3 linked regions of the Schizosaccharomyces pombe genome follow. Changing the gene in region 3 together with the main gene of any one other region gives a genetic interaction. Each region holds a gene or a part of one and is shown on either strand. Other genes may lie near its edges.

What was found.
Region 1: of mis14 (region 3) and scm3, extra expression of one impairs growth in a mutant of the other (dosage growth defect), as found in Schizosaccharomyces pombe (one study listed by BioGRID).
Region 2: of mis14 (region 3) and spc7, extra expression of one rescues a mutant of the other (dosage rescue), as found in Schizosaccharomyces pombe (one study listed by BioGRID).

Annotation. Positions count from the first base shown.
Region 1 is NC_003424.3:1,856,855-1,866,992, forward strand, and holds scm3 (CENP-A histone chaperone Scm3), read left to right. Parts: upstream 1-4,952; 5' UTR 4,953-5,079; coding exon 5,080-6,090; 3' UTR 6,091-6,278; downstream 6,279-10,138. Other genes in the region: cell surface adhesion protein for conjugation Mam3, read right to left, coding at 39-3,287; mRNA export receptor Nxt1, read left to right, coding at 6,509-6,527, 6,580-6,908; protein dpc13, read left to right, coding at 7,118-7,506, 7,561-7,603; geranylgeranyltransferase type 1 alpha subunit Cwp1, read right to left, coding at 7,819-8,026, 8,078-8,754. UniProt on the Schizosaccharomyces pombe protein: Centromeric protein that plays a central role in the incorporation and maintenance of histone H3-like variant CENPA at centromeres.
Region 2 is NC_003421.2:782,778-795,907, forward strand, and holds spc7 (outer kinetochore KNL network protein, KNL-1 family member, blinkin, Spc7), read right to left. Parts: upstream 7,884-13,130; 5' UTR 7,838-7,883; coding exon 3,743-7,837; 3' UTR 3,512-3,742; downstream 1-3,511. Other genes in the region: DNA-directed RNA polymerase subunit Rpb6, read left to right, coding at 324-598, 817-970; mmt1 (mitochondrial iron ion transporter), read right to left, coding at 1,473-2,011, 2,055-2,467, 2,687-2,928; P3-type proton ATPase Pma2, read left to right, coding at 10,402-13,130. UniProt on the Schizosaccharomyces pombe protein: Acts as a component of the outer kinetochore KNL1 complex that serves as a docking point for spindle assembly checkpoint components and mediates microtubule-kinetochore interactions.
Region 3 is NC_003424.3:3,111,173-3,120,933, reverse strand, and holds mis14 (MIS12/MIND complex Mis14/Nsl1), read left to right. Parts: upstream 1-6,387; 5' UTR 6,388-6,521; coding exon 6,522-6,571; exon of another isoform or gene 6,572-6,657; coding exon 6,658-6,805; exon of another isoform or gene 6,806-6,934; coding exon 6,935-7,369; 3' UTR 7,370-7,482; downstream 7,483-9,761. Other genes in the region: protein Rng10, read left to right, coding at 1-1,555; structure-specific endonuclease subunit Slx4, read left to right, coding at 1,934-1,987, 2,072-3,277; glutathione S-transferase Gst3, read left to right, coding at 4,139-4,867; SPOM_SPAC688.03C (AMMECR1 family protein), read left to right, coding at 5,608-5,831, 5,961-6,318; cwh43 (glycosylceramide biosynthesis protein), read right to left, coding at 7,634-9,761. UniProt on the Schizosaccharomyces pombe protein: Acts as a component of the NMS (Ndc80-MIND-Spc7) super complex which has a role in kinetochore function during late meiotic prophase and throughout the mitotic cell cycle.

The sequences.
Region 1 (10,138 bases), 1.3 Mb from region 3:
AATTAATATGTAAAATAAATATAAAACATTAACTTTATCTAAGAAACATCAACTACAGAATGGTGAGGTGTTCCAATTACAATGGTTTCTGTGATTGAACCAGTGTATGAACTGGTATATCCACTAAAGCCATCAAACGTTGTTGTAGTTGTAGTAGTAGCGTGTTGTTGGGGAATATCAACGAGAACCGTTCCAGCAGTGGTTCCAATGGGAGTAGCAATGGTTGTGGTGAATCCGACAGATCCAGATGTAACAGTTTCAGTTACCCAAGATGGTGTAGGAATATCGACTAGGACAGTTCCAGCAGTGGTTCCAACGGGGGTAGCAATGGTTGTGGTGAACCCAACAGATCCAGATGTAACAGTTTCAGTTACCCAAGATGGTGTAGGAATATCAACGAGAACCGTTCCAGCAGTGGTTCCAATGGGAGTAGCAATGGTTGTGGTGAATCCGACAGATCCAGATGTAACAGTTTCAGTTACCCAAGATGGTGTAGGAATATCGACTAGGACAGTTCCAGCAGTGGTTCCAACGGGGGTAGCAATGGTTGTGGTGAACCCAACAGATCCAGATGTAACAGTTTCAGTTACCCAAGATGGTGTAGGAATATCAACGAGAACCGTTCCAGCAGTGGATCCAATGGGAGTAGCAATGGTTGTGGTGAATCCAACAGATCCAGATGTAACAGTTTCAGTTACCCAGGATGGTGTTGGGACGTCTACAACTACTGTCCCGGCAGTGGTTCCAACGGGAGTAGCAATAGTGGTAGTGAATCCAACAGATCCAGATGTGACGGTTTCAGTTACCCAAGATGGTGTAGGAATATCGACTAGGACAGTTCCAGCAGTGGTTCCAACGGGGGTAGCAATGGTTGTGGTGAACCCAACAGATCCAGATGTAACAGTTTCAGTTACCCAAGATGGTGTAGGAATATCAACGAGAACCGTTCCAGCAGTGGATCCAATGGGAGTAGCAATGGTTGTGGTGAATCCAACAGATCCAGATGTAACAGTTTCAGTTACCCAGGATGGTGTAGGGACGTCTACAAGTACGGTACCAGCAGTGGATCCAATGGGAGTAGCAATAGTGGTAGTGAATCCAATAGATCCAGATGTAACGGTTTCAGTTACCCAAGATGGTGTAGGAATATCGACTAGGACAGTTCCAGCAGTGGTTCCAATGGGAGTAGCAATGGTTGTGGTGAACCCAACAGATCCAGATGTAACGGTTTCAGTTATCCAGGATGGTGTAGGGACGTCAACAAGTACGGTACCAGGTACACTACCAGACTGCGTAGCTAACGTAGTGGTAAATCCAACGGAACCAGAAGTAGTATATTCTGTAGTTGTTTGACCAACAAATTCGGAAGACTTATTTGAGCTTATTTGCTGACTAGTTAAGGTGGAGATTAAGGAAGCTAAAGAAGTAGAAGAAATTTCGCTAGTGACATTGCTGCAAACAGTAATTAAACTACTAGAATAATCTGTGCTGCTAGAAGGGATTAGACTTGAAGTGTAAGAAGTATTGGAAGGAGTGATTGAATGCGTTAGCGCAGGTGTTGAAGTACTAGTCGCTGTAAGTGATGAAGATATAATCGGACTAGAAATTATCAGACTTGAAGAAGTCTGCAAAGAAACCGATGAGTTTGAAGTAGGTATCGTAGTCGATGGAGTGCTCAATGATGATTTAGCATTCGTTAAGCTTAAGGAAGAAGAAGCAGAGGTAAAGTTTTCTGTGCTCAACTGAGAAGAGCTAAGACTTGAAAACTTAGTGAAAGAAGTAGAGCTTGTAACAAGAGATGAATTTACAGGGGGAATAACAACTAATGAACTAGAGGTTGAAAAAGCTTCGGAAGAAGTATAGTTTTCTGCAGATGTAGGGGTAACGCTATACACAATGGAAGATTTAATCGAACTCGAAGGAATGAAGGTATTGTTTGTATAGCTTATAGAATTTGAAGGTGAAGGAGTGATGGTTGTCAGGAATGTGTGAGAGTCATAAGTGGTTGTTAAAATTGTTTCAGTGAGAGTCGTAACATAAGTGAGGGTTTCAACCTGAGAACCGTGAGTGGTTGTTTGAACAAATGAAGTAGTAACTATTTGATGATCACCTGATTTTATTGAACCAGAATTTGTTAAAATAGAACTGGTTGGAGAACTCACCGATGGCGAAATAACTGATGATGAGATTGGTGAGGCTGAAGTCAATTGATCAGTAGACGAAGAGCTAGTAGAGCGTACGGTGGAGAAGGATTGGGTTAGTAGTGAAAGGAGGGAACTAGGAAAGCTACTTTCACCAATAGTAACCAAAGATGAACTTGAAGAAGGCAAATTTGTAGTTTCAGAGCTGGAAGTTACAGAGTTGATTAACGTGTAGGTGATAACACTAGAATCACTTGTAGCGGTTACAGTAGTAAACACACTATCAGTAAGAGTGGAAGATGTTTCCACTAAATAGCTGGACGAGCTTGAAGCTGGAGAAGACAAAGTGGAGGGTGTTGCGGGGATATCAGTAGAAAAGGAAACAGTAGCTTCTGAAGTACTAACAGGAAGTGTACTCGAAGCAGTAGTTGAAGCTGCAATGTCTACGGATGAAGAAGTATATGCCGATTCGGTAGAAGTGATACTTACAGAAGTAAGTGTTTCCGAACTGCTAACAGCAGGGGAATTAACAGATGTAGTCAAAATCACTGTATTTGTGGATGAAGATGAGTCACTGGGTTCACTGGAAACATAACTAACAGAACTAGCTACTTTCGATGAAACGCTAGCTGATGGAGAAAATACGGGTGTTGATGAAGGGCTCATGGATAATGTGGAAATTTGAGAGCTAACAGCCGTACCAGTAGGTGAGTTGATAACAGATGAACTAGTACTAGAAGAAATGTCTACTGTAGAAGTGAAAGCTTGACCACAAGACAACGTAACATATTCTGTAACAGTTTGAACTCTGTCAACGTATTCCGTAACGGTGGAAGTAGGATTGGAAGAAGCTGCATTATTAGAATTGCCAACAGAGTCAATTAAGTCTTGAATGGAGGAGTTGGAAGACCCGATAACACCAATTATAGTAATGTACTTGGCATCTAAGGTACTTAGAATCTCAGAAGCAGAGGTTGAGTTATAGATATTGCCAACTTCGAGAGGGCTTGATTGGCAAGATTCTAAATTAGAAGATGAAATTAAACCTACTGACCGACTGACGTTAAAAGTGTCATCAAGTGCAGATGGGGATGCCCAGGAAAATCCTAGCAAAACGAGAATAAAGAAAGCCAAAGCAATCGACATGACGAATTATGGGAAGATCAAGCGATAAAAGAAAAATTATAATTAATAATGTTTTTCAAAGAAGAAGAAAAGAAAGTATTAAAAAGAAGCAAGACTCAAATCAAAAGATAGATAAAAAATTGAGAAATGCGATGCAATGCAATGAGAAGTTATTTCAAAATTCTACTAGTCTGAAAAAAACTAAAAAATGAAAAAGCAAAAGAGTGTCAAAAGGTAATGAGGAATAAGTAGACGAGCGAATGGCAAAATCAGAGAGGTTTCAAAAAAATCGAGTTAAGTGATCAAAATTCCTTGCTGAACCTATTTGTCAATTGCAATACTAGTACTAAAACAAAGTCTTCGTCGTTCCCTTCTTTTTTTTCTGATTGCAGTTTCTTATTCAGCTTGCTTTACGAAACCTTCAAATGTAATGACAAATATGGAGCTCTATGCGGTTTTTTATACTTAGGATCCATGGTGAAGGAATACAAAGAAATTCGAGTATTTGAACTATACAATGCTCAAACAATGGTGTAGTGTTTTAAAGAAAGTGCAATTATGGAGTAGTTGAAAGAGTTGCGCTGTACTCAACTTCCTTTGTTTCATCGGCATGCTGTGCTATTCAGGTAACGGGTACGTTTATTGTTGGAGGGGAATGAGTAATTCCTATTGTCATATTCCATATGGTGTAGTAATTCTTTTCATGTGAATGCTTCGGTAAAGAAATTGTTCAAAACAAGCATACCGTAAGAAACTGAAACATGAAACGACTCGGTTTTGCTTCAAGTTATAGAAGACTGTGTTCATGAGACTAAGTCACAAAGAGCCAAAAATAGTTTATTTTACAATACGTTCCCTATCGTGTCCAAATTGTTCTGTCGTTTTGTTTAACATTTCTATTGTTCTCGCTATTGTCTGTTTCACTTGGCACTTAGTAAGAATGCAAACAATGCCGAGATCAATTCATCCTTTGTTCTAATTATTTAGCGATGATTTCTCCAATTCTATGTTGTAATGGAATTGATAATAGTTACTAGTTGGTACAATAGACACTTTCTAAAAGAATTCTATTGAGGAGCTGCGCTACGTATCCTCATATTTACATGAATGAACAATCAAAATATGGCTAAACTTGTCGAACAGAACGCTTTCAACTAATACGAATTATTTGTGAAAGAAAGCCAAAGAATCGTCACGCTTCTTTGGGGCGATGTGACAAATGGAATGCTCAACTTATGGGATTTTTTTATTAAATTGTGCAAATGATGCAAAGTAATATTCACCAAAACGAGTATCCTTATTTTCTTTATTTTAGGTATCGTTGATTTCTCATTTTATCATTAAAAAAGTAATGTGGAATTGCTATGTTCGTTGGAATCCACAAGGTATCGCAGCGTTCGTTATTATTACAAAATTGTATGTCTATTAATTTTATGTATTTTAGAAATTCTTAAACAGTATAGAATTAGTGCAAGAACAGATAAATCAGTCTTTTGGAGCAATGAGTTAATTTACAAGCGTTAAGCGACCATCATTGAAATTACACTTTTGCATAAACTATTCAAAAGAACTTTTCATTATCTTTTTTTTTTGATCTCTAAGTTCTAACAGAAATTAAATCTAAAAGTCATTCGTGAATTAGTTACGAAACTCTAATACAAGTCTACAGTTATGGCACCGTTCACTAATAAACCACTACTGAAATCGCTTTCCTACTAATAACTGAAAATCTCCAATTTTTGCCTTAAGAAATTTATTGGAAAGGATTTTTTGAACAAAATTTCTCAATACCAAATGATTTTAACTTTCAATCATGTGCAATCGTCAACCGAAAGCCGTTGACCTGCCTCCAAACTATTCTTGTCCACATCTGTTGTCTTTTCAGTCTGTCGAATTTAATACTAATCCTACGGCTTGTGATGATGTGTTTTGTAAAAGAATTGAGTCCGAAAAGAAGTACAACGACTTTTTGGAATCTCTTTTCAAAAAATATGGACGCGACACTTCTGATATAGCTGATGAAGTAGATCTTGCAACTGGTGAAATTATTGTTAATAATGGACATCTAGAAGCTTTAAAAACAAAAGATGATATATGGGATCCTACATTTAACAACCTTGAAATCTCAGCGTCAAATGGATACGAAAAAAAATTAGACTCAAGCATTGGCAACCCAGGGGAAAAAGCTGTTTCACCAGTCCATATAGAGGATTTTCAGTCTCCCCAGATCTATAAATTTAAAAATCTATCACTTCGTGATGAAATGGTGTCAGATTGTGTGTTTGCAGATGAAGTTCCTTTAGCTTCACTTTTTGTGGAAAATGTTTGTAATGAAACTATACCCTCTCAGTCATGCGTGAGACTAAAAATCAATGATAAAACAAGAAAAGTTGATGCTTCAGCTTTGGAAAAAAAATCTTGTCTGTTGCCAAACTCATCAGGAACATTAACAGATCAGCGTGGTTTGGATACAATCAAGCATAAAAGCATAGAACAAAATGAGATTTTGCACGTCATCTCTGATACTTTATCTTCACCGAGAAGAAGGAACCCTTTATTATCATCTCCTAAAACTCCTTTACGTAGATCTTTTTCTAAGTCAAAAGTCCGAAACTCCAATTCTACAAAACGAAGAAACTTTATTTCATTAATTTCAATGATATCCCCTCGACCTAATCTTTCTACCCATCATTTTAATCTTGGTTTTCAACCTTTAAGTCAACAAACTTCGTTCTCAGGAAGTAGCACTCAGAACCCTCATTCTTCCAGCACTTGTAAAAAAGCATTTTGTTTCCAATGCATTTCTGAGTCAAAAAAATGTTGATTCAGCTTTAAACCACTTATTCTCCCATCTTCTTCGCTTGCCATACCATGGCTTTTAATGACCTATTTCTTCGAACATATATTTATTTTTTGTTTTCATTTACAACAAATTGTCTTTCGAGTTATCATGTTACATTCGAATATATATTTTTTTACTAATATATTAATCATTCGTTGAGTTTTTACGTGATCTATGCTTTTGTAGTATGGCAAATGAGTACACATAATTGTTCTCCACTCTTCATGTTATAAGTAAAAATCGTAGTCATAAAGATATCTAGCCGAAATATCCATTCAGTGTGTTGAACAAAGATTATCTTTAAATATCGCTTAATGAGTACAATATTTCAATTTATAACACATGTACCTGTTTAAATGACTACTTACACCACTACAAATTTCTGTCATTGTGAATCATTATGGAGTCGAGTGTAAAATGTATGTTAAATGCCGCATTACTAAAGCTTTATCTATAAACTAACAATTAAAGATGCGCAGGAGTTCGTCCAACGGTATTACTCATCTCTTGATACGAACAGAAATGGGATCGCAGAATTTTACAGAGAAAATAGTTTGATCTTATGGAATGGAAAACCCATGCAAGTAACCGAATTTACCTCTATGATAGTTAATCTTCCATACTCCAAAACTAAAGTTGAGGATTTCGATAGTCAACAGGTCATGGGTAATGATATGAATATCATAATTGTTGTTTCAGGAACAATACGTTTCGATGGAAAAAAACCTCATGTATTTTCGTATGTCAGTTTTTATTGTATTTACCTTCTTGTACTAAGATCCTCTACTAACTTCCTTTAAGAGACAATATAGTTCTACAACAGGAAGAATCAAAGTATTATATTGCCAGTCAAAATTTTAGAATTATGAGTGAATAATACGTATCCAAAACAAAGATTTCATTTCGTTTAGAGTTTGTATTAATTTGCCGCAGCAAGCTTATCTGAGCGACACATTCCCTAATCCCTCATACTTCTTTAGAACACAAAATTAACCACCACCTTACAAATATGAAATATTGGAAGTATTTGTCTCAGCTGACTATCAGAAGGCCTCTTACATACAACAATGCTCTTCTGTATAGGAATAGGTTTCCTAGTATATTAACATGGAAGAGAAGTGCGACTACGCAACCTGACGACACTATTTTCAAGGATCCAGTAATGGATGAGCAAGTCCAGAAACTTGAAGAGAAAATGAGTTCATTAGTTGTTAATGATCCGGAACTTGCTCAAAAGGTTGGCCGTCTTCGTCAGTTTTTTGAGAAATACGGCCTTGAAGCTGGTTCAAAACCGTCACCTCTTACTATCCTAAAGATTACTCGTGATCCGGAATTCAAGCAGTTAGCTGAAACTATCACGGAGATATTTAAAAAATCTGGAATTCAAAATGATCCTGCGTATGTTTTTTTGAATGTATTCCATTGATTGTGCGAACACTAACATATCTATAGATTTTTGGAACTTGTTCGAAGAAACCTTAAGAAAGAAAAGTAAAAATATGCCTCTGACATTTTTTTTATTCTTTGTTTGGCCTAATAACCATTACTTGTTCACTATTATGTGAAACTTACAATTGGAGGAATGACTAATGTTATTGATTTCATAAACGATTCACTATACATCACAACTACTTTCTTAATTAGTAGGAATTTTAAACAAGATGCTTTATCAAAATATCAGTAAACCCAATTAGCATTCAAAGCATAGATTTAAGGATTGCTCCTTTGGGACATCCATGTCCATAAAGCGGCATGCGGTACGTCAACCTCATTTGCTAGTTTTTGATAAATCTCTTCAGACGACGAAGGCTCGTACATAGCTAAAAACTCTAAGAGTGGCTTGTGTAAAGCAGGCAAATTTTTTCGGAGATTAGCTATGAGATTATCAAGTTTTGAAGGTCCTGATTTGTCAAGTACACTGTAAAAAAGTTAATGAAGAATGTAATTAATGGAAATGAGAGATACTTACCCACACAAATAATTCCAAGCACTCTGATTGTCAGGAGCAAAAAGGATTTTGTCTTTCAGATAATTCAGTTCCTCTTCCAAAGACCAAGAAACCACCTTGGAGGTTTCAAACAAAACATAAAATCTATGATTCCAAGCCGAATTGTTATAAATGTCTTTTTCCAATAATTCGTTGGTTAACTTCAGCTCTTGAGAATAATCATTAAAATTTTGCAAGATCCAAACTCGGTAGGACCAGACATGATAATTTTTACTGTCAATTTCAAACATCTTTTTCGTAAACTCAAGTTCACGCTCATAATTCTTAGTCAAAGAAAGTATTTTTTGCCTATGATGCCAAACCTGGTAGTTTTTTTGAAAATCTTCGGCAATTTCATCGAGCCATTCTAATTCATTGTCTATGTAACTGGGCGTGTGGTTTAGGATTTGAAATCTATAAGCCCATACTGTATAATGAGCTGGATTATTCATAATCAAGAAACCTGTTAAATTAAGTGCTCTCAAGGAGTACTCCTTTTTAGCCATAATGGCACGAAAATAAGCCATTCCTTGTTCATATCCTGTCGTGTAGCAAATTTTCGCTAATGGGTTTTCGCCATCATCCTGAGGAATGGGTGTTAATGGTCCATATTCTGTAAAATCCAAAATTTCATTTAACTCGGGATCAATGGGATCCATTTCATTAATTTGGCATCCGTTGTACAATTCTCAACTCAAAGAAACAAATACTTAAAGGCCGAAAATTTAATTATAAGTGTTTTATTAAAAAGGATTGTCAGGTTTTTCTAAATTATCAACTCGAAAAACAATGAGTCTCTTTGTTTAGTGCGTACTATTGTTCAGGTGTGATGGTGGGTTAACTAAGGAGAGTAAGTAGATGAATAGTGAGTTAGGATTACCATGTTTACAATATGTGATTTATTTCAAACTTTTATCATAGTCTTTTATTAATTTTATTGTAGGCAACGGAGTATATTCATAAAACTTCAAACGTACAGGTTATATGAGTATCACCGACCAATTCGTGGTATTTCAGTATTGCCTATTAATTAAACCGGTGTTATATTTTCAGTTTGAGCACAATAAAAAAAACATCAAGTACATCAAGTAATTGCAAAACCCATCTAATTTTAAGTAGAGTATGAAATGTTGTGAGTTTATAATAATACCTAATTCATGTCCTGTCCGGATAGATGCGCTTTGGTCGTACAAAACGAATGACTAGTGATTACAAATTGCCTATGAGAAATCTGTATCTTCAGCATCCTAGCGATTAAAACTGATGAGGATTAAAGAGATTCATGCAAATTATTTGAACACCTATATAAAGCATTGAAGGCTTCTGGTGAACAACACGATATAGAAAAATATATTGATATGCGTTTCAATGATTATTTTAGTTTAAAACGAGAACCTAATCACCAGAGTCATGAAATGTCATTTGTTAGTATCTCCAAAAAAATATATAGCAATGCCGAAGCAAATTATTTCTTTATAATCTCCTGATCTACTCAATTTTTAATTTCTTAAGTTGAAATCTGACATTCCGATTATTTACATATACTTACAATGAAATGTTGCAACAATAATAGCATTTAAAGCATTTTAATATTTTTTAATTGATCCAAACCTTCCATTAATATTCAGTAAATTAAATTAACATCTTAAAAAGGGTTCGAAGCTGCTTTGAAAAGTCATGTCAAATTTATATTACTACTTACTTTTCCCTTACAGAATATATGACCAACCAGAATTTGCGCTAATAAAAATTTAATTAAAAGTAATTAAAACGTGTCTTCTAAGAAAGCAATGACTTCTAAATGTTTTCGACTTTGCTGGATTTTTCTAGATGGTTAATTATGCTTGACTTCATGCACTAGACGAAATTTAGATTTAGCTCATAATGTGCAACCTTCACCAACATAGATGACTGAAATTTTATTGAATTGAAAAACTCAAAAATTAACTGATCTTTATTTGTCGGTGTTTTTTAATTCAATTTTGAGAACGGGTTTGTGGGTTTGTACTTACCGAAATAATTTAGAACTAAAGGAAGTTACTA
Region 2 (13,130 bases), on a different chromosome or scaffold from region 3:
GACATGCTTATAGAGAGATGATAAAGTAATAGTAACAAATAGACTCTCAATCAGTCAATTTTATCAAATTAAATTATTGATTTAAAAAATAATTTGAATAATAAAAGAAAAAGTCTCTGAAATGTTTCAGTGGAGCGTGCGTTCGATCTTTCTATGAATTAAACATATAAGATGTAAATAGTGCATTGTAGTGTAAAGTAATGAGATTTAACACGGATTCACAATTCGAACGCTGACTAGGTGTATGAGAATTTCCTCTGTCAACTTCCAATTTTTTAGATTCGCCCTTGTCCCCCTTTTCTCCTTTGGCAATTGCATACAAAATGTCTGACTATGAAGAGGATGAGGCCTTTGGAATGGACGGTGCTGTTATGGAGGAGGAAGTCGATGAACTGGAGATGATCGATGAAAATGGGCAATCACAGCAAGGCGTCTCTCATCCTGGTGAACCTTCGACTACCGTTATTACTGAAGATGTTGCTAGCTCAAAAACAGCTCAATCTGGTAAAGCGGTAGCAAAGGAAGACCGAACCACTACTCCTTATATGACAAAGTATGAACGCGCTCGTATTTTGGGAACTCGAGCACTTCAAATTAGGTGAGTAGATGCGTGGATTTACAATAAAGCGTCGTACAAAGGCACTAGCGTAATTGCTTAAGTCCTGAATCGTTATGCTGTTTTGCAGTCATGGAGTTTAAAAAAAAACGATATAGTTAAAAATTTTTTTTTTATTTTCTAGTTAGGATTGTCTGATTATGATGAATTTTGTTTCTTTTCAATTGAGCTTTCTTTTAATTTCTAACTCTTTATTTTAGTATGAACGCACCTGTTTTAGTTGATTTGGAAGGTGAAACTGATCCTTTGCAAATTGCCATGAAGGAGCTTGCACAAAAAAAGATTCCTCTACTAGTCCGGCGATATTTACCCGATGGCAGTTATGAAGACTGGAGTGTAGCGGAGCTCATTTAATTTAAGAAGTGTTCCAATTTCAAATACGTTCTATCGCTCGTTCGATTCACCTCGTTCTTTTCCTAATTCTTTTGTTTTACGTGAGCGAAGCCGTTTGGCTATGGTAAAGAAAAGAAAATAAAAGCAAAAGGACTAAATTTTTAGCTCTATACCATTAATTTACGATTTAGAAATAGGGACGTATTTATCCTCGGGAGAAAAAAAAGGCTTGTGCTACTATTCTAGAAATCTTCTTTTCTTGTGTCAAAAAATTTTTTGGGGCATTTTAGCTCTCGTTCTTCAATGAATGCATTTAATAATAACTTTTTCCGATAGTTTTAGTAGCTGTGTAAATGTAAACTCATTGATCACGGAGTTTTTTGTACAACTGTTAATCTGAAAAAAATTCTAGAGCACAGAAAACTCAAAATTGCTTACTACACACCTATCATTCAGATATGTTCAAATGTTCTATTACTATCAGTTTCAAAGCATGGATTGCGAAATTTACAAGGTATAATATCTAATGAGTGTGCTCATGAGATGGATGCGAATGTTCACCAGAAGACCCATTTAAGTGTTGCCATCTATGAACCTGATTAGAGTCAGAGGAAAGTGGTGTCACGATACAACTGGAAAGGGCAGGGATAGCATCCAAAACAGTCTTTTCTACCTTTTGTGCCAATTCGGACGACTGTTGAGATGTGAAGGATGGAGGAACAGATATTATCACATGCATGGCATGTGCATTTCCTAATATAGTAACGATTTTATATGGAAGCTTTTCTCCCTTCAATAAAGCATCAGTTACTGCGATACGTAACTCTTCGGAAGGTGCTCGGTCCAAAAGCTGCAAGAAGGCCTTTTTAGAAGAGTTGAAGCCGGCACTAAAAACGACAATACTTACTAAACAACCAAAAAACGGATCTAGCCATGGAGCATTAAGAAAGTAAGTGCCGGATAAAGCAAGCAGTGAAACCATTCCCGTCAATGCATCTGCTCTATGATGCCAGGCATTGGCTAGTAAGATATTTGAATCTGTTTTTTGAGCCACCGTTCTCGCTAAATATACTATTAGAATCCAATAATAGGTGAAATTACTTACTTTTTCGGAAGAGCCATTCTTTAAGAACAACACTACCAAATATAAGGCCAAGTGCCATAAAGGGGTGTTCAAACAATAGTTGAGAAGGATTATGAGAATGACCAATGTGCGTGTGTTCTGAACCAGCGTATGGGAATAGTATAGTATACAATCTCGATAACGATGAATGAGCAATGCCTACAGATACAGCCACCAATAAACCAGATACGGTGAATGTACCTATGGTTTCCCATTTGCCAAAACCGGCAGGGTACTTTTGTGTGGGCTTCTTGCTACATATTTTCAAGGTAGCCAATGTTACCAAGTCCGAAAGTGTATCTCCTAATTGATGAGCAGCATCGGCGACAAGAATGCTAGATTGTAGAGCAACTCCGCCGATACCTTTGGCGGCTGCTAAGCCTATATTGCTGTATCTATAAAAAGTGTTAATAGTCAAGAATATCTATAATAAAGGGAAGAAATTGTCAAAAGATCTGTCGTAGAACGAAAGCATAAGAGAGTACCAGTTTAAAAATGGTCTCATTAAATATCATGAGTTATTTAGCTAACTTTAGGGCTACAGTTCCTTTGTTGCCGCTATGCTCCGAATTGATAAGAAAAGATGACTTTCTTTTTTTCTTTTCCATACTTACAATCCTAACCACGCAAGTTTCAGCTCTGGAGATTTCCCTTCTTTTTTCAAAGCTTTAACAAGCTCTAACATTTCTTTGTCCGATCCATGGTCATGGGTATGAGTGTGAGAGCCAACACTATGCATTCTTACAGCATTCCGAATTTCAAAGCCAGATTTCTCGTGCAATCTGCTGCACAATGTCGGTAGAAAACGCGGCATCGCTCGACATGAGCGCGCTGACGAATTGAACGTTTTCAGCATAGTGAGTTTTGTACTGTTAATTCAAGAAAAGGGATATCTATATATAAAACAAAACTTCTAAAGAAGTAAATATGTAGAAAACCTGGAAATTAGGGCTCAACCGGCTGTCTGTGAACTTTCGATTGCGGATGCAATCTATTTTTAAGTGTATTAATATTTTTATCAGAAATTGCAGACGAGGTTCAGGAACTTTGACTTACTTAATTAAACTGTGTTCAAAAATAAAAAATGGATAACTTAATAATCCGAGCGAAGCCTAAAAATCTAAAAAACCTCCTATTTCAATTCTGCAAAATTTGAGCTTGCAAACTCATAATTTTGTAAGCAGCGTCTGACTTTCAATTATAAAAATCTAAATATCCGTCCAATTCTCTTAAATTAGTTAAGATCTTTGTTTTGTTTAGGATCGGTCTCTTCTATCGATTGTGTATATATGTATCTAGGAGAACGTAAGATGTCGATCCCGTACTTATCAGATCAATGTGAAACTTTACTACACCAGATTTGCACATCCGAGAATCTTTTAATTATGGATAGTTTATTTATATATTAACTAAACACTTTATTTTGTAGCGCATTACGGGTTTAACAAAAAGATTTATAATTTCATTATCAGTCAAGATCTACCATTATTATTTCACCAATATTAAATAGCATAAAATATATACATTTTCTTTAGTAACATGTGAATTAACGAAAACGAATGAACTAGTATACAACAAGGATAAATGATATTTCCAAGCGTTAAGCACAAAATGAATATTGGGAAAGGAAGTCGCTTCGGCGCAGCATAGCTAATCATTCCCATTAATATCTAGCTGTATTTGTTCCAAACAGTAAGACAAGCAGACGAAAGGGCATAAGTTGATGTACAATGCACCACTTCCGAAAGAGTATTCAAAACCTCACTAACATAAGAGTCTCCTTCACTTTCCGCATACATCTGTTTCACAGCGACTGATGTAGAAGCATAAAACTTTCCTACTTCAGTAGTTTGGTAGATAGTATCAATTGGGAGACCGAAAACAACCTTTACCTTAGATGATACCGAACGCAGGTATAGCTCAACATTTATGATAATAGACTTATCATCATTTTCAACTGACAAAAAGGGCCAATGGTACCATAATCGCTGGAAATCTTGGACAAGATAAACAATTTGTTCCCAACAAATTGAAACATCGTTAAGATACTTCTTCAGAAGACGTAAGTTCCTAGAAAATACCTTGGAATGCCATTTAGAAAACGACGATGCAACATGCTCGAGCACATTTGAGCTGCAAGCATTACTTTCGTTAGGGAACTTACAGGCAATATCAACGTTAACTTGGAAATTTTGCCTCAAAATCTCAACCGTAACCTCGGCTGAATAAGGAGAAAGAGCAGTGTTATTTGTAGCTAATTTAATTCCGCCCGCGGTCAAAGAAACTATGGTCCAGCCAAGTTCATTTTTAAGATTTAACAACTGCTCCTCGTATCGCTTAATTTCGTCAAATTCAAAATCTTGGTTTTTCGCATAAAAATCTTGTTCAGCGTTGGTACGTAATTCCAAATCAGAGCAAGAGTTTGTCACTTGTTCTATCTTTATTGCCAACTCCTTTCTTCTTTCTTCTTTTTCACTCAGAAGCCGACGTCTCCTCTCAACCTCAACCTTGAGTTTCTCTAACTTTTCTTGCGCCTGCGCTAGAAGAGTTGAGTCATACTGATTTGCAAATTCCTTCTGCTTCTTTAATGTCTGTACTGTAGTAATACTACCATTGTATCTCTCTTGAATTTCCTGCGCATACGGATGAATAACATTCGCGACATCCATTAAATGGGTCAAGCTTCTTTGCATCCCAGTTAAATTTAAATTTAATTCATGTTTGATTCCTTGCATCAAACCCTCACGCCATTCGTACCAATCACCTTTTGCTTGAAGTCTAGCAAAAGTTTTCATCATTAAAAATTGTGAATCCATTAAAACCCTCATATCACTGGATGCTTTCCTATACTCATAGAATAGTAACGGGTTCTCTTTCAAAGTTTCCTCTTCAATTTTAGTAACAAAATCCTTCCCTTCGGCAATATAATCCTGTAATTGCTGACAACTAAATTTGTATAACTCTAACAAAGGGAATTGTATGTAAAAAGATTCCAAAAGTTCTTGGATACTGCATTTCTTATTTTCTTCAGCATTTGGCAATAGGGTTTCTCGTCTTTTAGCAATAGTAAGATTATCCAAAAATTCAATTCCGGTCATTTTAAGAAAATCTGATAGGCTTATCGGCTCGACGTTTGGTAGAGTTGGCATCGTATCAAATTCTGGCTCATTACCAACAGGTATTTCTTCATTTGGACCAGAGTCTTGATTCAAAATGTTCGTGTTAATAGTCGAAGCGCCCAACGATGTATCAACATTGCTCACACCTTTTGATAATTTGACGGGTGACTTCTCATGTTCATTCATGCCCACGGAAGTTGTATTACCTGCATTTGACGAACCAACTTGAACAAGTTCATTCCGGTTGGGTTCCTGAGATTCCAATCGCTCCAAACTAGTTGAATCGGCGTAATCTGCAGTTGTTATACGCTCTTTTTCATCCTCATTCGAAGGTTGTTGAGGAAGCTTAACAGAAGAAGTCGTATTAGTTGGAACGTGCTTAATTTCGTTAGTCTGTTGAATTGTTAGTCGCTCTGTTTTACTCAATCCAGAATCAACATCTGCATTAGACACTTGTTCGCCTTTGTCATCAGTGGGTTGCCTTGAAACTTCTTCAGGAAGACTTGAAAGCGGCTTTTCTGTGGTGAATGGCTTCTCTGCGGTAAGTGGAGTAGCTCCTAGACGATAATTTTCGGATCGCTCAACCGATTTATAGAGACCAGAATTTACTTTTTTTTCGAAAAAGTTAACCGGTAGAAGTTCTCTGTCATTCAAAGTTGAAATTGATTTTCGAGCATTACGGATTGTTGCAAGACGATTGCGACGCAAGGTACTTTGATCAAAACTTGAAGTGCTATATCTTAAGCGTCTTTTCCGAGTACCAAGCTTATCAGTAGGAGTCGCTACCACATGTCTACTTGGAGAAGAAGAGTTAGGATCTTTCGAAAATTTTAGATTATTGTTCCCATTTGGTGACCGTTCATGGTTGGTAAAGGAGGTAGTATTGAAATTTTCTGACTTATCACTATATGAGGGTATTTCTTCTCTCTCGGCATTTTCCTTGTCTGCTGAAGGTAACTCAACATTGTTTCCACGGATTTGAAAAGCCACTGTTTCGTCCATAGCAGCTTCTTCCACCTCAAGATGAGATGTAGAATTCTCACAAGGAAAAACTGTTGAGGTTAATTCCATTGGTTGCTCTTCGGAAAGTGCTTCTTTAGAAGGGGATAATATATTGAAAGGTCTAGTAATGTCCATAAAGTCCTCACTGTCGGGAATGGGCTTTGAAGAATTGGCAGTCTTGTTATTATCCTTTCTCGGTTTTGAAGAAGAGGATATATTTGAGGTAAATTGATTTAAATCATCTTCATTCAAATGGGTGGGTGCATTTGTAGAGCTAATGGGTTGTGTCAAGTCCATTATTTGCTCTTCCATGGATCGTGACGATGGACGAATGGGGGAAAGGAGAGTTAAATGTGAGTTTTCGATATTAAAGGCGGAGGTGGTATCCATTTCTTCTTCTCCATTAGTTAAATCGTTCGGAGAATGATTAGTTAAGTGAGGATTAGCATTAATTGGTCGGGTAAGGTTCATAGGCGCTTCTTCTAAGTTTTGTAAATCTAAGCCATTGGAAAAATGAGACACTGGAGATAAATTAATGTTATTAGAGGTAATATCCATGTCAACAATAGCTTCTTGGGAAGTTAAAGGGCGAGCGATGGGGGAAAAGTGTTGCGGAATTTCAATAGGTCGAGTTAGCATCATATCTTCTTCTTCTTCTTTATTTTCCGACTGATCGTGATTTTCGTTATTTTTGGAGAAATCCGAAATTTCAATACTAGTTGGACTAGATGATTTGTTAGGGGATGAAAGTTGAGTTTGGTTTGAAGGGTCATGAGAAGCTTTTAAACTATAAACAGTACCTTGCTCGCTAGAGCTAAGACCTTTAATTGATTCGGAATGTGATAAAAACGAATCTGCTTCTTGGAATTGGATAGTCAAATCCATGTTAGTTTCCTCTCTATCATTAACCTGCTCTCTCGTGGCATCGTGAACATCAAGTGCCTTTTCTGCTTCAGGTAAGGCTTTTGTTGGATTCTGGATACTTAAATCATCATTCTCCGGATACAGAGAAGGAGGCGGATGGCCAGCATTCAATGCCTCAGAGACCATATCTGATTCGGTTGACCGAATAGGGGACGCAATGTCCATATCACTACCGTCTGAAATAATCGAGGCACTATGACTATGGGGAGATGATTGTGTTTCGTTTCTCGAAAAACTTGTCGTTGTTGGACCTTTAGGGGAATGGTTTTTAGCATCAGATGCAAAAGTTCGCTCAGGTGTGCTGTGATTAGATGTCGACTTTTCCGAGTCACTCTGGTGATCTTTAGGATACCAACGTACACGTGCATGACTAGCAAAGGAAACTCTTCTGTTCAAACTTTTTCTAGACGTCTCACGCGACAATTGCTGTAGGTCTTCCATTTGAAGTCTCTTTGACGCAGCCATAACATTACTAGAGATTCCAATGACCGTGTTATTTATTTGTGTGTGTATATCATTAAAGTCTTCATCTCCTGTGAAAGCGGGATCTACGGAAAAGGATGAATAACTCTTTAGAATGCCTTTTGCTGGATTTGTGTGTTCTTTAAGTTCTTGAAGCGCACCAGGTCCTCCAAGCGAGTGTGGACGCTTCCTACTTTTGTTTCTTCCTATAACATTATCGGTCGTCGCTATACTATTGCGACGAGGCGATGTTGGCATCGTCAAGTTAAACAAAGCACGTCGACACACGAACTTTGTTGTTTTTAGATTAAGACGAACATAAGAAATTGTAATGATAGTTCGTTAAATTTATGGCGGTGAGTTTCTTTTTGCGGCCTAGAACGCCTTTCGTTGTATTATTTAAGGAGTCTGTAAGCCTTTTTAGGATACGGTAGACTACGATGATGCTTTCTGTAATCATTCCTGTTAGCTAATCTGAATAAATAATGAATAAAGATCCTATTTGTAAAAGTTCCAATGAACAATATGACTGTTGTTCATTCTTATCATTAACAAATTGTATAAAGTAAAGGTAAATTGGGGGTACTTTTGTTCAACTGGGTCTATTTGTAATATTGGGTTTTCTGTAAACAATAAGGTAATGAGCATCACAAGCATATGCGCACTGTGATGGAGGAATACAAACTTCAAAAAGGTATAGATATCTAAGATTCACTTGAATGTTTTGTCAAATGAGCCGCACTGTTCTTTTGGCATAATTTAATGGATTAACTTGAAAGCAATGTGCGGTTGTAAGAAGTATAAGTAAATTGTAGCGAGGTTGTTATAAATTATTATTTCGCAAATTGTATATTATAATAATACTCGTGAATATTCCTTTAAAGGAGTGTGTTTATTTAATATCATTCCAGCGGCTTATAATCAATAATCGAGAAAAAAACTGTTTATTGTTAGTATTTCTATAATTTGATGGATATTGCCATGAACTTACAACCACATGTAATTCTATGTTCTACTTTCCATTGAGGTTCTCGTAACCTGTTCCATCATTGTTTACTATTCAAAAGTGGTTATAAAAGGTTACCGGCTAAGCAAATATAAGCTAGCTCATTCTGAACTATTTCCTGTTCATTTCCATGGTTATACTTAGCCATAGTGAAATTGACCAGACATTAATTCGTGTACTTTTCCTTTTACGATGATATATTGATCACAAATAGAAATTATAAATCCTTTTAAGTCAGATTACGATTGCGTTGCTAAGACCTGAAATTGATATATTATGTACTATAATCCATATGTGTTATTAACAACACTAATGCTTTCAAATCACAGTAAAGCTTAGTAACATAACTAGCATTTGTACAACATTTAAATGAGTAAAAAAAAAACAAGTATGGCTGAGCTCGCTTGTCTTAATATTTTTTATTAGAATGATAAATCATATACCACGATTAGGATTTCTTTGAAGAATGGAAATACAAAAGGACGTAAAATGTTTATATTCGGCACAGGAAGGATAGCGTTGTATAAACGAATGATAATTGTTCAGTATTTCAAACAAGTAAGGCTTTTGTCATCAATACTAACATTCTTTTTTTTTTTTTAAATCCGGGAAATTGACAATTCTTACAATTGGATATTTGTAAATCCCGTGTATCCCGTAGTATGGTATGATATTCTATTCGTTGCATTTGGTATAAGCCTTCAAATACGAGCAGACTTGGTTAGCCCAATATCATTCTCCCATTTGGATTTAGTCAATGTTACGATATAAATGGTCACAAATCTCCGGTATCGTAATGTTATCCAGTTTCAAACGACATAACATGTTTCAATTTAATAATGACTTATTAATAGTTGCATAACTACTGTATTTCACTAGAATCCTTTACTTAGCATAATGTGTGTGACATGATAAAAAGGGCGTCAGACATCTTCTCTGAGGAAGATTTGATAAAAATAGAAAAAGTATTGTCTATACAGCAGTCCAGGCTTGTCCTTTAACAATTGCAAAAATATAGATTATTCCACAATTCATTTAGCATACTAACTTTACTTAAAAGGGGCCAAACTAATGCTTCAAATTGCAAGGATTAGCCAAAATTGTGCCAAAAAAAAAAGAAAAAAACACACAATAAGACAAGTATTTCTTCGTTACAACACTAAATAATGAAATCCCAAGAATCACGAAGTTTTCTATGAGTGCTCCATCATAAATATTCTCTAAACAAGTGGACTTAATGTATCCAAACATAAACAAATACAGAAATCACACCCATTAAATATTTTATGTAACGATCCGCTTAATAATAAAATTGTAAATTTATAAAAATAAAAAAATAAAACCACGCAGTATTCAATAATATTTATCTCCGGGTACAATGAAGCTCCTAGTAAATATAAAAGACAATTGCAAATTCAGGTAATCGACCGGTAATTTTTACACAATAATGAAAGCATTGTTACGAGACTGACCTATAAGATGGTATTATTACTAAATGAGTCTGCAACCACGCCTATATTAGGTCAAAAAGCAAACCAAGGGAGAAATGAAGTCAATAATACGCATAGGAGACGAATATAAGCTGTGAGCTAACCAAACCGCAATAAGAGGCTTACAATTGTTCCCCGCATGATTTTTTGAAGCTTTTACTATAAAAAGGAGTCCTTCGTAACGGCTGGCGACTTACTAATTGTCATCCAATTCAAACAAATTTTGTCAGTCTTTTATACACAACAATAGAGCCAATTCCAGTTCTTTTACCTTTTCATCCTCACCAATCTTTTGCGCATAGTCGTTTTAATAACCTTTGACTAATATGCAACGAAATAACGGCGAAGGGCGACCTGAGGGTATGCATAGAATTAGCCGCTTTTTACACGGCAATCCTTTCAAGAATAATGCTTCTCCTCAAGATGATTCAACCACAAGGACAGAAGTTTATGAGGAAGGGGGAGTGGAAGACTCCGCCGTCGATTATGATAACGCTTCAGGAAACGCAGCTCCACGTTTAACTGCCGCACCTAACACTCATGCTCAGCAAGCGAATTTGCAAAGTGGTAACACATCAATTACCCATGAAACTCAAAGTACCTCCCGAGGACAGGAGGCTACTACATCTCCATCGCTATCTGCTTCCCATGAAAAGCCTGCCCGTCCTCAAACCGGCGAAGGCAGTGATAATGAAGATGAAGACGAAGATATTGATGCCCTAATTGAAGACTTGTATTCTCAAGATCAAGAAGAAGAACAAGTAGAAGAGGAGGAATCTCCTGGACCTGCTGGAGCTGCTAAAGTAGTCCCCGAAGAGCTCCTTGAGACAGATCCCAAATACGGTCTCACAGAATCTGAAGTCGAAGAGAGGAAAAAGAAATACGGTCTTAATCAAATGAAAGAAGAAAAGACAAATAATATTAAAAAATTCCTTTCATTTTTTGTGGGTCCAATTCAATTTGTAATGGAGCTAGCTGCTGCATTAGCAGCAGGTCTCCGTGATTGGGTTGATTTCGGTGTGATCTGCGCTCTTCTGTTGTTGAATGCAACGGTCGGCTTTGTTCAAGAATATCAAGCAGGATCCATTGTTGATGAACTAAAGAAAACAATGGCGTTAAAGGCAAGCGTTCTTCGCGACGGTAGAGTGAAAGAAATTGAGGCCAGCGAAATTGTTCCAGGTGATATTTTGCATCTTGATGAAGGAACTATATGCCCAGCTGATGGTCGCCTTATTACAAAGGATTGTTTTCTCCAAGTGGATCAATCCGCAATCACCGGTGAATCTTTGGCAGTGGATAAACACCAAAATGATACCATGTACTCATCTTCAACGGTGAAACGTGGAGAAGCTTTTATGGTAGTAACAGCAACAGCCGATTCAACTTTCGTAGGACGAGCAGCTTCTTTAGTCGGGGCAGCTGGTCAAAGCCAGGGCCACTTTACCGAAGTTTTGAATGGCATAGGTACAATTCTTTTGGTTTTGGTTATCCTCACCCTTTTATGCATTTATACAGCTGCATTTTATCGTTCTGTTCGTTTAGCTGCTCTGTTAGAATACACTCTGGCTATTACCATCATCGGCGTCCCAGTCGGTCTTCCTGCTGTTGTTACCACAACTATGGCAGTTGGCGCAGCCTACCTGGCTAAGAAGAAAGCCATTGTACAAAAGCTGTCAGCTATTGAATCACTCGCTGGAGTTGAAATCCTCTGCTCTGACAAAACTGGTACATTAACGAAAAACAGGTTATCGCTTGGAGAACCTTACTGCGTTGAAGGCGTCTCACCCGATGATCTTATGCTTACCGCATGTCTGGCTTCTTCGAGAAAAAAGAAAGGGTTAGACGCCATTGACAAAGCATTCCTTAAAGCGCTAAGAAATTACCCAAAAGCAAAGGACCAATTGTCAAAATATAAAGTTCTCGACTTTCATCCATTTGACCCTGTTTCTAAGAAAATTACAGCATATGTTGAGGCCCCTGACGGTCAAAGGATAACCTGTGTGAAGGGCGCCCCTTTATGGGTCTTTAAAACTGTACAAGACGATCACGAGGTGCCCGAAGCCATTACAGATGCGTACAGGGAACAAGTCAATGACATGGCTTCACGTGGTTTTCGTTCATTAGGTGTTGCGAGAAAAGCCGATGGAAAGCAATGGGAAATATTAGGTATTATGCCGTGCTCAGATCCACCCCGTCATGATACGGCTCGAACTATTCATGAAGCCATCGGTTTAGGTTTACGTATTAAAATGCTTACTGGTGATGCGGTTGGTATTGCCAAAGAGACAGCTCGTCAACTTGGTATGGGTACAAACGTCTATAATGCTGAACGCTTAGGTTTAAGTGGAGGTGGTGATATGCCAGGTTCGGAAGTCAATGACTTTGTAGAAGCTGCTGATGGATTTGCAGAAGTGTTTCCTCAACACAAATATGCAGTCGTTGATATTTTGCAACAAAGAGGTTATCTGGTAGCAATGACAGGTGACGGTGTTAATGATGCTCCATCATTAAAGAAAGCAGATGCCGGTATTGCTGTAGAAGGCGCATCTGATGCAGCCCGTTCTGCAGCCGATATTGTTTTCTTAGCCCCCGGTTTGTCGGCTATTATTGATGCACTAAAAACATCTCGTCAAATTTTCCACCGCATGTATGCATACGTTGTATATCGTATTGCATTATCTCTTCATCTCGAAATCTTCTTAGGTCTCTGGCTAATTATTCGTAATCAATTATTAAATTTGGAGCTAATCGTTTTTATTGCTATTTTCGCCGATGTAGCCACCCTGGCAATTGCCTATGACAATGCTCCTTATGCAATGAAACCAGTGAAATGGAATTTGCCAAGACTCTGGGGACTTGCTACTATAGTAGGTATTTTGCTGGCTATTGGAACTTGGATTGTGAACACCACAATGATTGCCCAAGGTCAAAATCGTGGTATCGTTCAGAATTTTGGTGTCCAAGATGAAGTTTTGTTCCTTCAAATTTCTTTGACCGAAAATTGGTTAATTTTCATAACCCGATGTAGCGGTCCTTTCTGGTCTTCCTTCCCATC
Region 3 (9,761 bases):
GCCCTCAGGTGAGTTGGATGAAGAAAATCTTAAACTACGATTACAAGATTCAGATGTGGATGATGAGGTAGCCACAATTCGTTCACTTAAACAAAATAATGCTACCAATTCGGAGGTTGAGACAGTTACGAACGATCCTTCTTTCTCCCAACAACCGGGTACTCATAGTCGTATTTTGCGAAATTTTGATGCTATCAGCTCTATCGATTCAATACCTGATAGCTTTTCTGACAGCGCTGTCGATTTGCCTGTCGATTCGTCAAAATATACCCTTGTTGGAAAAACTCAAAGTAATTCCAATCTACTTCAGGACAATGCTGAGAAACATATTTCAAAATCGAACCTTGAAAAAGTTGATGTGAAAGGAGATACATCACCCAATTCTGTCGAGCAAGGGATTGAACCTCAAGCTGCTTCTGTTGTTGGATCTCCACGCTCTTCTTTGGTTTCTAACAACTCCCTAGAGGAAGGAGCACTATTGAAAAACTCAGAAAGCTTGGAAAGTATCTATGGTTATCTTTCGGAGGAGCCCGATCCAGCTCTTACCAAGTTGAATACCGAAGACCCTTTTTGGACTAAGGGGTCATCTGACGATGAACATACAATAGCCTCTGTAGAACAAGACGTATATCCATATAAAACTAGTCTTCCAACTATTGTTGAAGCGACTACTTCTCACACTGAGTCAAGTAACTCAAAGGCTCCCGCAATTGAAGAAACGACAACTACAAAGGTCGAAGTGGTAGCTGCTCACGATGCAGTTTCAATATCCAGTAATTCCAGTACACATAAGTCTCACTCTGAACCATTAAATAGAGATGAGTTAGAAGTTGCTGCCTTAAGCCGTGGATCCTTGCCAGAACCTCCAAAACCCAACAAGCAAATAGTCGTTCAGGAAGAGGATCAACGAGACACACTATCTCTAAAGACAAGCACGACAGGTTTATCTTCTCATTCTAAAAGTGCTGAAAATAATTCAACTCAGCAGTCGACCACTTCTCCTAGCATTAACTCCGGTGCTTCAGCGGATGCTGTTTCTTCTGGAATTTCCAAAAAGGCTGATAATAGTGAAACTAATTTAAATTACTTTGCTACCTTAGATGCGTTTGTCAAGAGTCCATTGATGTCGTTCGATGGATTGGGTGAATTAGGTTCTACCGATCAACGTTACAACTTTTTCAATCAAAAGATTCAAGAATATTCAGCATACGATTCGGGCCTTGATAATTGGATTCAGTTTTGCTTAGAAAAAGATGGTGAGGCTCCAAAGGAAGCTCCTCCTCCTCCTCGTTCTGAGCCAGTTTCAACTACAACCAAACTTGCCAAAAGAATTACGCAGCCTTCGTTGAGTCCTGCAAGGTCAACTGTTACTATAACTCACAACATTGCTACTGAAGCAAAAAAGAAGTCTAAATCTGCTGCTAATGATATTTTACATTTGTTTAAGAAGAAAGCAAAAAGTGAACAATCAAACGCCAAGTCGTCATCTAGCTCTATCAAAGAATCCAAAAAGATGAAAACTCTTTTCGGAAAAAAATTGGGATTCAAATCATAAATCTTTTGCATACACTTTTTACCTAACTTTTTTCTCTCTTTTGTAATTTTCTAATTTATGTATTGTTTACGAAGCATTGCATTTCAATCAATAAGATTTTATCTAAATATTGTTTCATTTTCGTATTGCGCATTTTTGTGAAACCATTTAGTTATTTTTATCAGACGATGAGTTAAAATATCAAGCATATTCTGGTTTTGCTGCCACTTGTCTAAACCAAAATAAGAAACTGGACGAAAAACTTTCGACAAATTCAGGCTAGTACACAAAACAAAACAATCGAAATTAAATATTCATCATTTTTTGGGATATTCTTTCGTTTTCTTGGTGTTTTAGGATTCTGAGTACGCTGCTTTCAAGCTAAGTTTCATTAAATGGATGTCGGCTGAAGAATACATTGAGGTATCATCTTCTCCTGATATATTCACGGACGTATGAAAAAAATATGATATTCTATAGCAAATGATTAGAAATATTACATTGAACTGAAGTAAATGTATATTAACTGAGCTTTAGGATGATGACATGATAACAATAGAGCCAGAGCTAAACAAAAACCCTAAAGATTGTAATAGTAAACGAAAAAGATCTGTTACTGAATGTTGTGAAATTAGGCTGATAACTTCTAAATGTGATTTTGAGTCTACTCAACAGCTTGTGCATCACAATTGTACGGGACATAAGGTTCATGAGCACAACTTAAACGCTGTGGATGAAGAAGATTTTGATACTGAAAATCTCCCTCTTCTTTTTTCTTCCTTTAGCGACAATGAATCAGATATCTTAGAACCCGATCTTAACACTCGGGTAGCTGAAGATAATGATGTCCTTTTATCTAGATACAGCAAAATTAAAAATAGTGCTTCATGCAGAAATACTTTCGAGCACTCTGCATATCACTCAAATAGGGAAGAAATATCTTCTAGTGGTTTTTATTACCATAGGAAGCCTCAATTGTTCGAAAAATCTTTAGAGAAGTTAGGAAATAAATCAATTGAAGCCAACAGGAGTCCTCTTATAAAAGAACTTTGTGAATCGGCTAATTCTACTGAAAACGTTTGTTTTTCTGTTTCCACCGTTGATGAAATTCAGCAAAGGCATCCAAGCGCCGGTCATTCAATAGACTCAACTTGTCAGTCAAACTCGTTTCTTGAAGGCGATAGTGCTACACATAAGAAAAAAAAAACGGACAATATTAAAGAGTTTACTTCATGTGAATTTAATGACCGTAGCAGAACCCTGTTAAACTATGCCGGTTACATGGACACTAACAAAAACGCTGATAATGAAGCTAAATCATTAAAAGAAAAGTTGGAGAATTTTCCGGTTGAAAAATTACGTGCTATAGCGGAAAGTTATGGCTTCAAATCATCAGATTCGAAAGCAACTCTCATTAAGATAGTAGAATCTTGTTTGGATGCAATCGATAGCCGATCTCAGTCTAAAAAATTAGGCAAAGAAACTCCCCATGATTATTTGATAACTTCTACTAAAACAGTATTGGAGTTTGATGATATAGTGACACAGACTCATAGAGCAATTTCGCAAGTTGTTAAGCAAGCCAAAGACAATAGTGTGTGGATTAAAATTCTTACGTATTCTGCTATTGATGTGGAAGAATTTCAACTTTGGCTGAAGCGGAAAAATTTAAATGTTTCGCTAGATCTTATAAAGTCTTGGTGCGATAAGTATGGAGTACTCATGAAAGGGAGTTGGCATTAGCTAGCTAATCAGTGATTTTTGAGTGAAAATTGATGGTTTTTAAAGCAAAACAATATCATTTTTACAAAAAGATTTTGGATTTTTGAGCATCAAAATTAACAGCAAACAACCCAGCTTTAGATTTAAGTCAATTCAAGTCCTGTTTTAGATAAGAATCGTCCTTTGCAGCAGTGCTGAGGAAAAATCAAGATATCTTTTATGTGTTATAACGAGTAACATATATTATTGGAATCAAAAACTAATCATTATATCTTGCTTGGTCTTTGGAAACAGTTTGAACTGTTTGAGATAGCTTGTCTATGAACTATTTTGGAATATTCGGTATACAAATTTAGTACTATAACTTTTTTGTTAACACCACGTTTTACAAGGCAGTATACGTTGTTAACTATGAAAAAACCGTAACTCCAATTTATGTAAAATATGGCTTCTGTATTGTGATATTCAACCACTGAACTTCTTTTCATATGTCAGTCAGAATGCCAAGTAAATCCAACTGCTGCTCTTTTAGTATAAATGTACTGACTACAACAGTAAAATTGGTCTTTCATATAAATCTAGTACTGCACCTTTACAGCGGGCTCATGACGGACTAGTGATAGCAATTCAAATGAAGATGTTATTTCATTCCTATATCTACTGTATCTTTTTCTTAAGCAAACATAAAGTGTTTTGCGTATTTGTTGCATACGCCACTATATATTTCGGTGACTGACGTGCATATGAGGTGTAGACGCAGCAGCACCCATATATACATTCCAATTCCCACATACTTCCCTTCTTTGATCGAAATTATTGCATCTTAGAAAGTATTTATTTTGAGTATTCAATTTGATTTTGTTTTTATTTTTGTAACCAGATATGATTGTTTTACACCACTTAAAGAACTCTCGCTCTACTCGAATTGTATGGATGCTCGAAGAACTCAAAGTGCCTTATGAAATCAAAGTTTATGACCGTGTCGACGGACGTGCTCCCCCAGCGTATACTAAGTTGTCACCATTAGGCAAGAGTCCTATCGTTGTCGATGACGGTGTCACTTACATTGAAAGTGCAGCCATTTTGGAGCACCTGGTCAGAAAGTATGGACCGTCATTTAAACCCTCAGAAGAGGATGTTGCCGAATTGGAAAAATATGAATTATGGATGCACTTTTCTGAAGCATCTCTTATGCCATTTATTTGGGCAAGTCATGTTTTGGATCTTAGTGTGAACATGACTCCCATTTTCTTTCGTTATATTGTTCGCCAGTTTGTGAATGGGATAAAATCCAAGTATCTAAGTAAAGAAACATTTTTGAACCTTGACTACATTGATAATCACCTCGCATCGAACGAATACTTTGCAGGCGAACAGTTCACCGCTGCGGACCCGCAGATGTGCTTTCCTATATTTGCTGCTCAAAGAGATTACCTATCTCAGAAACCTTACAAAAATATTAAGCGTTGGATGCGGGTTGTCAGTGATAGGCCTGCATGTCGAATTGCTGCTGAAAAAGTTGAAGACAATACGTTGACTTTGTTTTCTGATGTGGAAAGGTACTCCCATCCCCCTACCCCTCCTCCCGAGCAAGTTCGCTCTGATGAATAAGATTTCTGCCGTGGCTCTTTTTTTCTTAAGCAAGTCGGCTTGAGACATACAAGGCTTCAGCAAGCTTACTTTTTTATTCTGCTTGTACGGAACTTATGCTGTTAATGTAGATAATGATTTGTACAATAACTAGGATATTGTGGTAACTACATAAAAATTTTTGCGACACCCCTTTTGAAATGATTTTCCGATGCAAGAAACAAGGCTTCGGTGCTTAAACGCTTGGACTTTTCTCTCTTTATCTGTCTCCCTCTCTATACATATATATATATATTATATACGCGTATACATCTAGTTTTGTGAATGGGAACATGTTACTGTTATTTAGTCTGAAAAAGAAGTTATGGTTACAAATCTTGTTTTTGATTTAATGTTAATTTATATATGACTACTTTTGAATTCAATAAGTTTTGCTGCTGTTGCATGAATTGTTTAACTAGGTAGTGAAAACTTAGAAGAGTATTTATTTTGTAAAGAATGCTTTAGTGTACAGTTAAACAAGTTCTCCATTTTCTTTCACTTTATGACAGAAGACATAAACAGGGCCCTACTAACTAACTTTTTTTAACATGAAACATGAAACAGTATAATGAACTTGGACGTTATCGTAATCACTTACAACGTATGATTTGTTGGCCATCCTTAAACAAAGAAAGTTGGAATGATGTATGAATAAAATACCATGGCTTACAAATTGTACCGAAAGCGTCCGTAGGCAATTGCTACTACCACTAATATAAATGGACAAGAAAGAGTATTGTTATTATTGCTTTGAAGTAGTTGCTGCAACTTTAGAGCATCGAAAGGTCCGAGACAAGTGGAATGCAAAGAGTTGGACCCGTAGTATCCCTCTGTTCGTAAAGTTTGCATCTGGAAAAGGCCATGATAAACAACTACGAGGTTGCATTGGAACTTTCCGGGCACGTCCTTTAGTTACAAATTTAACATATTTCAGTAAACAAGCGTAAGTGTGTCTAAAAATGGTTCATAGTTCGTTGTAGGCGTCAATGATAAATCATAGACCTTCGTATGAAATTGCCGATGAAATTGAAAAGAAGAGTAACCGAATGCTAATACAACATTTTAAAAATAGTGCATTTTGTGATGAACGTTTTCGTCCTATCTCCTTGGGAGAATTGGCTCTTTTAGAGTGCCAGATAGACTTGTTAGTCGACTTTGAACCGATAGATGATCCATTAGATTGGGAAGTTGGCATACATGGCGTGTCTATTAAATTTACGGCAAATGGAATTCGTTATTCTTCGACTTATCTACCTTCTGTAGCGGCTGAACAACGTTGGGATCAAGAGGAAACCCTAGAAAGCTTGATACATAAAGCAGGCTACTATGGATCAATACGTTCTTTACAAATAACTGCTACTCGCTATAAGTCCTTGGAAATCGGGTGTACTTATGAAGAATATCTTCATAATTTGGAGCTTCTGGGATAACCTGATCTATATACAATGGTTCTTTTCTATCTATTTACATAGCGTAATTAAGCTATCGCTTAAGTTTTCAGCCAGTACTATCACATCCAAATTCTTTTCAGACTAATGATTTCTATCTCTCAGCTAAAAATTTAACTTTCTCTTAATATATTCTAATCTATTAATCATATATTCTTAAAGAAAAACATTTCTTTCTAGCATTCATGTCGTCTCACGGAGATGCTAGCGTTTTACCAAAAATTGCATTGGAAAGGTGTGTTTCATAATCCCATGTAGTTTAGAGCTTTTATTTATGCTTTTAATTTGAAATTAGAAAATCTGATTTTAACACTTTATAAGTATCAACGATTACAGTTACGTAAAATCGGTGTTTCGTCAAGCCATACAAGAAAAACTTGCTATTCATTTACCAGAACAAGCTTCACGGGAAGCTGGAATGGGTCGTGAAGACCAATTGCGAATTCGAGTCAAAGAAATGTTAAACGAGGTGAGTATACAGTACACGCTTCTAATCAGCCATAAAGTCGAAATTCCATAGCAGCTTCGATTAAAAAAAATATATATATATATAAAGTAAAATGAGAGACCTCTTCAATTACTAATGCTTAACATATAGCTGATTGAATCCACTTTCTCAATAATACAAGAAAACGTTACAATCAATGGCTTTGATGCAAATTCAGCCTTGCAAGATCCAAAAAATTCCGACCAAATTGAGCCATTTGATCTGGCTCTTCGTACTCGAGTCCAACAATTATTCAATGAAGTAGAAGATGCTCATGTCCTAGTGGCTCGATACCGAAAGTCTGTACCAGCACAATATGAAAAGGCATATGTTGATGCGATGGAGCAACAGACCGCATTTTTAAGAAACGTGAAAGATGACTATGTTTCTCTCCAAGATAAAGAAGTAGAAAACCCGGATGAACAAACTTCGACAACTGTGTTTAGAAAAGAGGACATCGACCGATACGAGCAGACTATTGCTAAAGTAGCATATTTAAAGAAAAATCTCCCTAGAGTAGTTGCCCGATTGGAAAAAACTCCTTAATCATTAATAATTTTAATATACGGGTAAACTAATATTAATTTAGTGCTATTTCATCTCAACTTATACTTCATTCCAACTGCTCACCAGAAACAAACCGGTTGATTCATAATGTACTAATCTTAACAAATCTTATTAATCAGTGCATAACTGCAGACAACATATTAAATAGTTTATCAAATTCGTATAATGCTTATATTGATTCTAATTATATCAGTCTTTTTCTTTTCAAAACCATGGAAATTTAAATGAATCAAATTTGTGATTTTAATCATAGTACCACGGCTCGTGAACAACTAAATTATTGTCATAGTAATGTCCATTAACACCCGTTCCTTCAAATAATGATGGATACCTGTGTGATTCAGGAACGTGTTCCTTGTCGATTCTGACGTTCCTACCTAAATCTTTGGTAACCAAAAACTTTCCGGTTTGAAGCTCGGTGTCTGTTATAGTAGAGCGATGAAGTCTAGCATAACCAATTCGCTTGACACCTCGATAAAATATATACTGACACCAACGATCATAGTCAGCAGGTTCAATGTCTAACATTCCCGTGTCTCGCGTTAGAATAGTTTGGGGTTCTTGGCCAACGTTTGAAACAACATATCCGAGAAACACTAGAGGCCTTGGACTCTCGCGCATAATTCGAGCCAACTCAGTGCTCTGAAGACGTCGATCCAACTGACTTTCATATTGACCATTGTGAGAAACCACAACATCTATTAGCTCTCCGTAGACATCTAGTGTTGCATGAATAGCAGGAGCAAGTTCTCCTTGAGGAGAAGGTAACAAATGGTGAGTCGAGTTGACAATAGGAAATTTGGAGAGTAACGCAGCGCCCCAAGTATGTTTATCAGGGCCTGGGCCATAATCCGCATACATTCCTAGATCATGTGCTAAAACCTGGGTTAAATCTCGAAATCCCATAATTAAACGTTGTGTGTCAGATTCCAGTAGACCAAAGACATCAAGTTCCATATCTCGAACAGCATCGCGTATACGATTCTCACTTGCATACATGAAATTGTCTAAGCCAAAGTGAATAGTCCAAATACCAGCAGTGAAAAGCTTTTCATTTGGATGGTAAGGTGTATAGTCATACGGAGGCATATTCTGAATGGCAAATTTTAGGGCCATAAGAGCCAGACAAAAACCTGTCAATAGTGATTTTTTGAAACTTCTTCTACGATAAGAAGAATCTGATTGTTTGATATCTACTACAGATGAGTCTGCTTTGTTGGGTTCTTTGGACTCACCCGAATACGCAGGTACTAAAGCTGCAAGGTTCCAACCAATGAAAATTAGAATGTAAGAAGTTCTCTCTCGAAGAATGGGTCCACCTGGAACAAACTCGTAGGCTACGACCCAAACATGAGCTAATGAGTAAAGGATGTAAACCAAAAAAGCGCCACCCCAAACCTTCGCAGGAGAATAGAAGGAGGAAATTCTGATAGAAGCGAACGAGTAAATTAAAACGTAGGAAGTAAATATTAACCCACCCAAATAACTACACCATCCATGGTTAATATACATAAAATATGATCCGAAGCAGGCTAAAACAAATCCAATAAGCATAAAAGCACCTGATTGATATAAATAAGGGGCTACCAAAACAGCGCAAATGGAAACAACTATTGAAACGGCACCGTGTGGATAAGGTTGCGGTCCCTTAATAGGATACCCATCCCACGACCATGTCATAAGAACTGTAGAGTCACAAAGAAAAGTATGCAGACAAAAAAGTACTGTGCCCAAGCTTAGGGCTGCAGACAGAGCAGTTATCTTCCTTAGTTTAAAATGTTCCACGGCATTCGCTGTTGTTTGCTGCACATGGAAAATGGCAAATATTAGACATGCAATTATTCCGACAATTAACGCTGGGATTTGTTTTCCACCGTTTGTTTCATTTAAAATAGGCCATATAGGATTGTTAGAAAAAAAAGAGTACTTGGCGATTGAAGACGCAAGCAATCCAAACAAAAATGTGCTAATTTTACGTTCTATTGCTAAATTTTCAGGCGAAATATTTGAAAATAAAGAAGTCCAGGCGAGACATTCACAACAGACAGAAAACGCAGTAACAAATAATCTGTGCACCGGGTCCTCAAGCTTATAGGCAGCTATACCTATAACATTTAAAAATAAAAATATAACAGGTACTTTTGAGGCAAATTTTCGCAATAGTGGAATACCAAGTAAGAATGGAGAAAGTTCGAAAAGAATGCACGCTTCATAGCCCGAAATCCCCATATGCCATAAGGGAAAATACCATACTAATAACCCTAAGCTAGTAAGAACGCTCCAGAAGACAAAAGAAAGATACACCTCAGATGAAAAGTATAGCAAGCTAAACAAGATTTGCTTTTTGGAACACTTGACGTTACTATCTTTT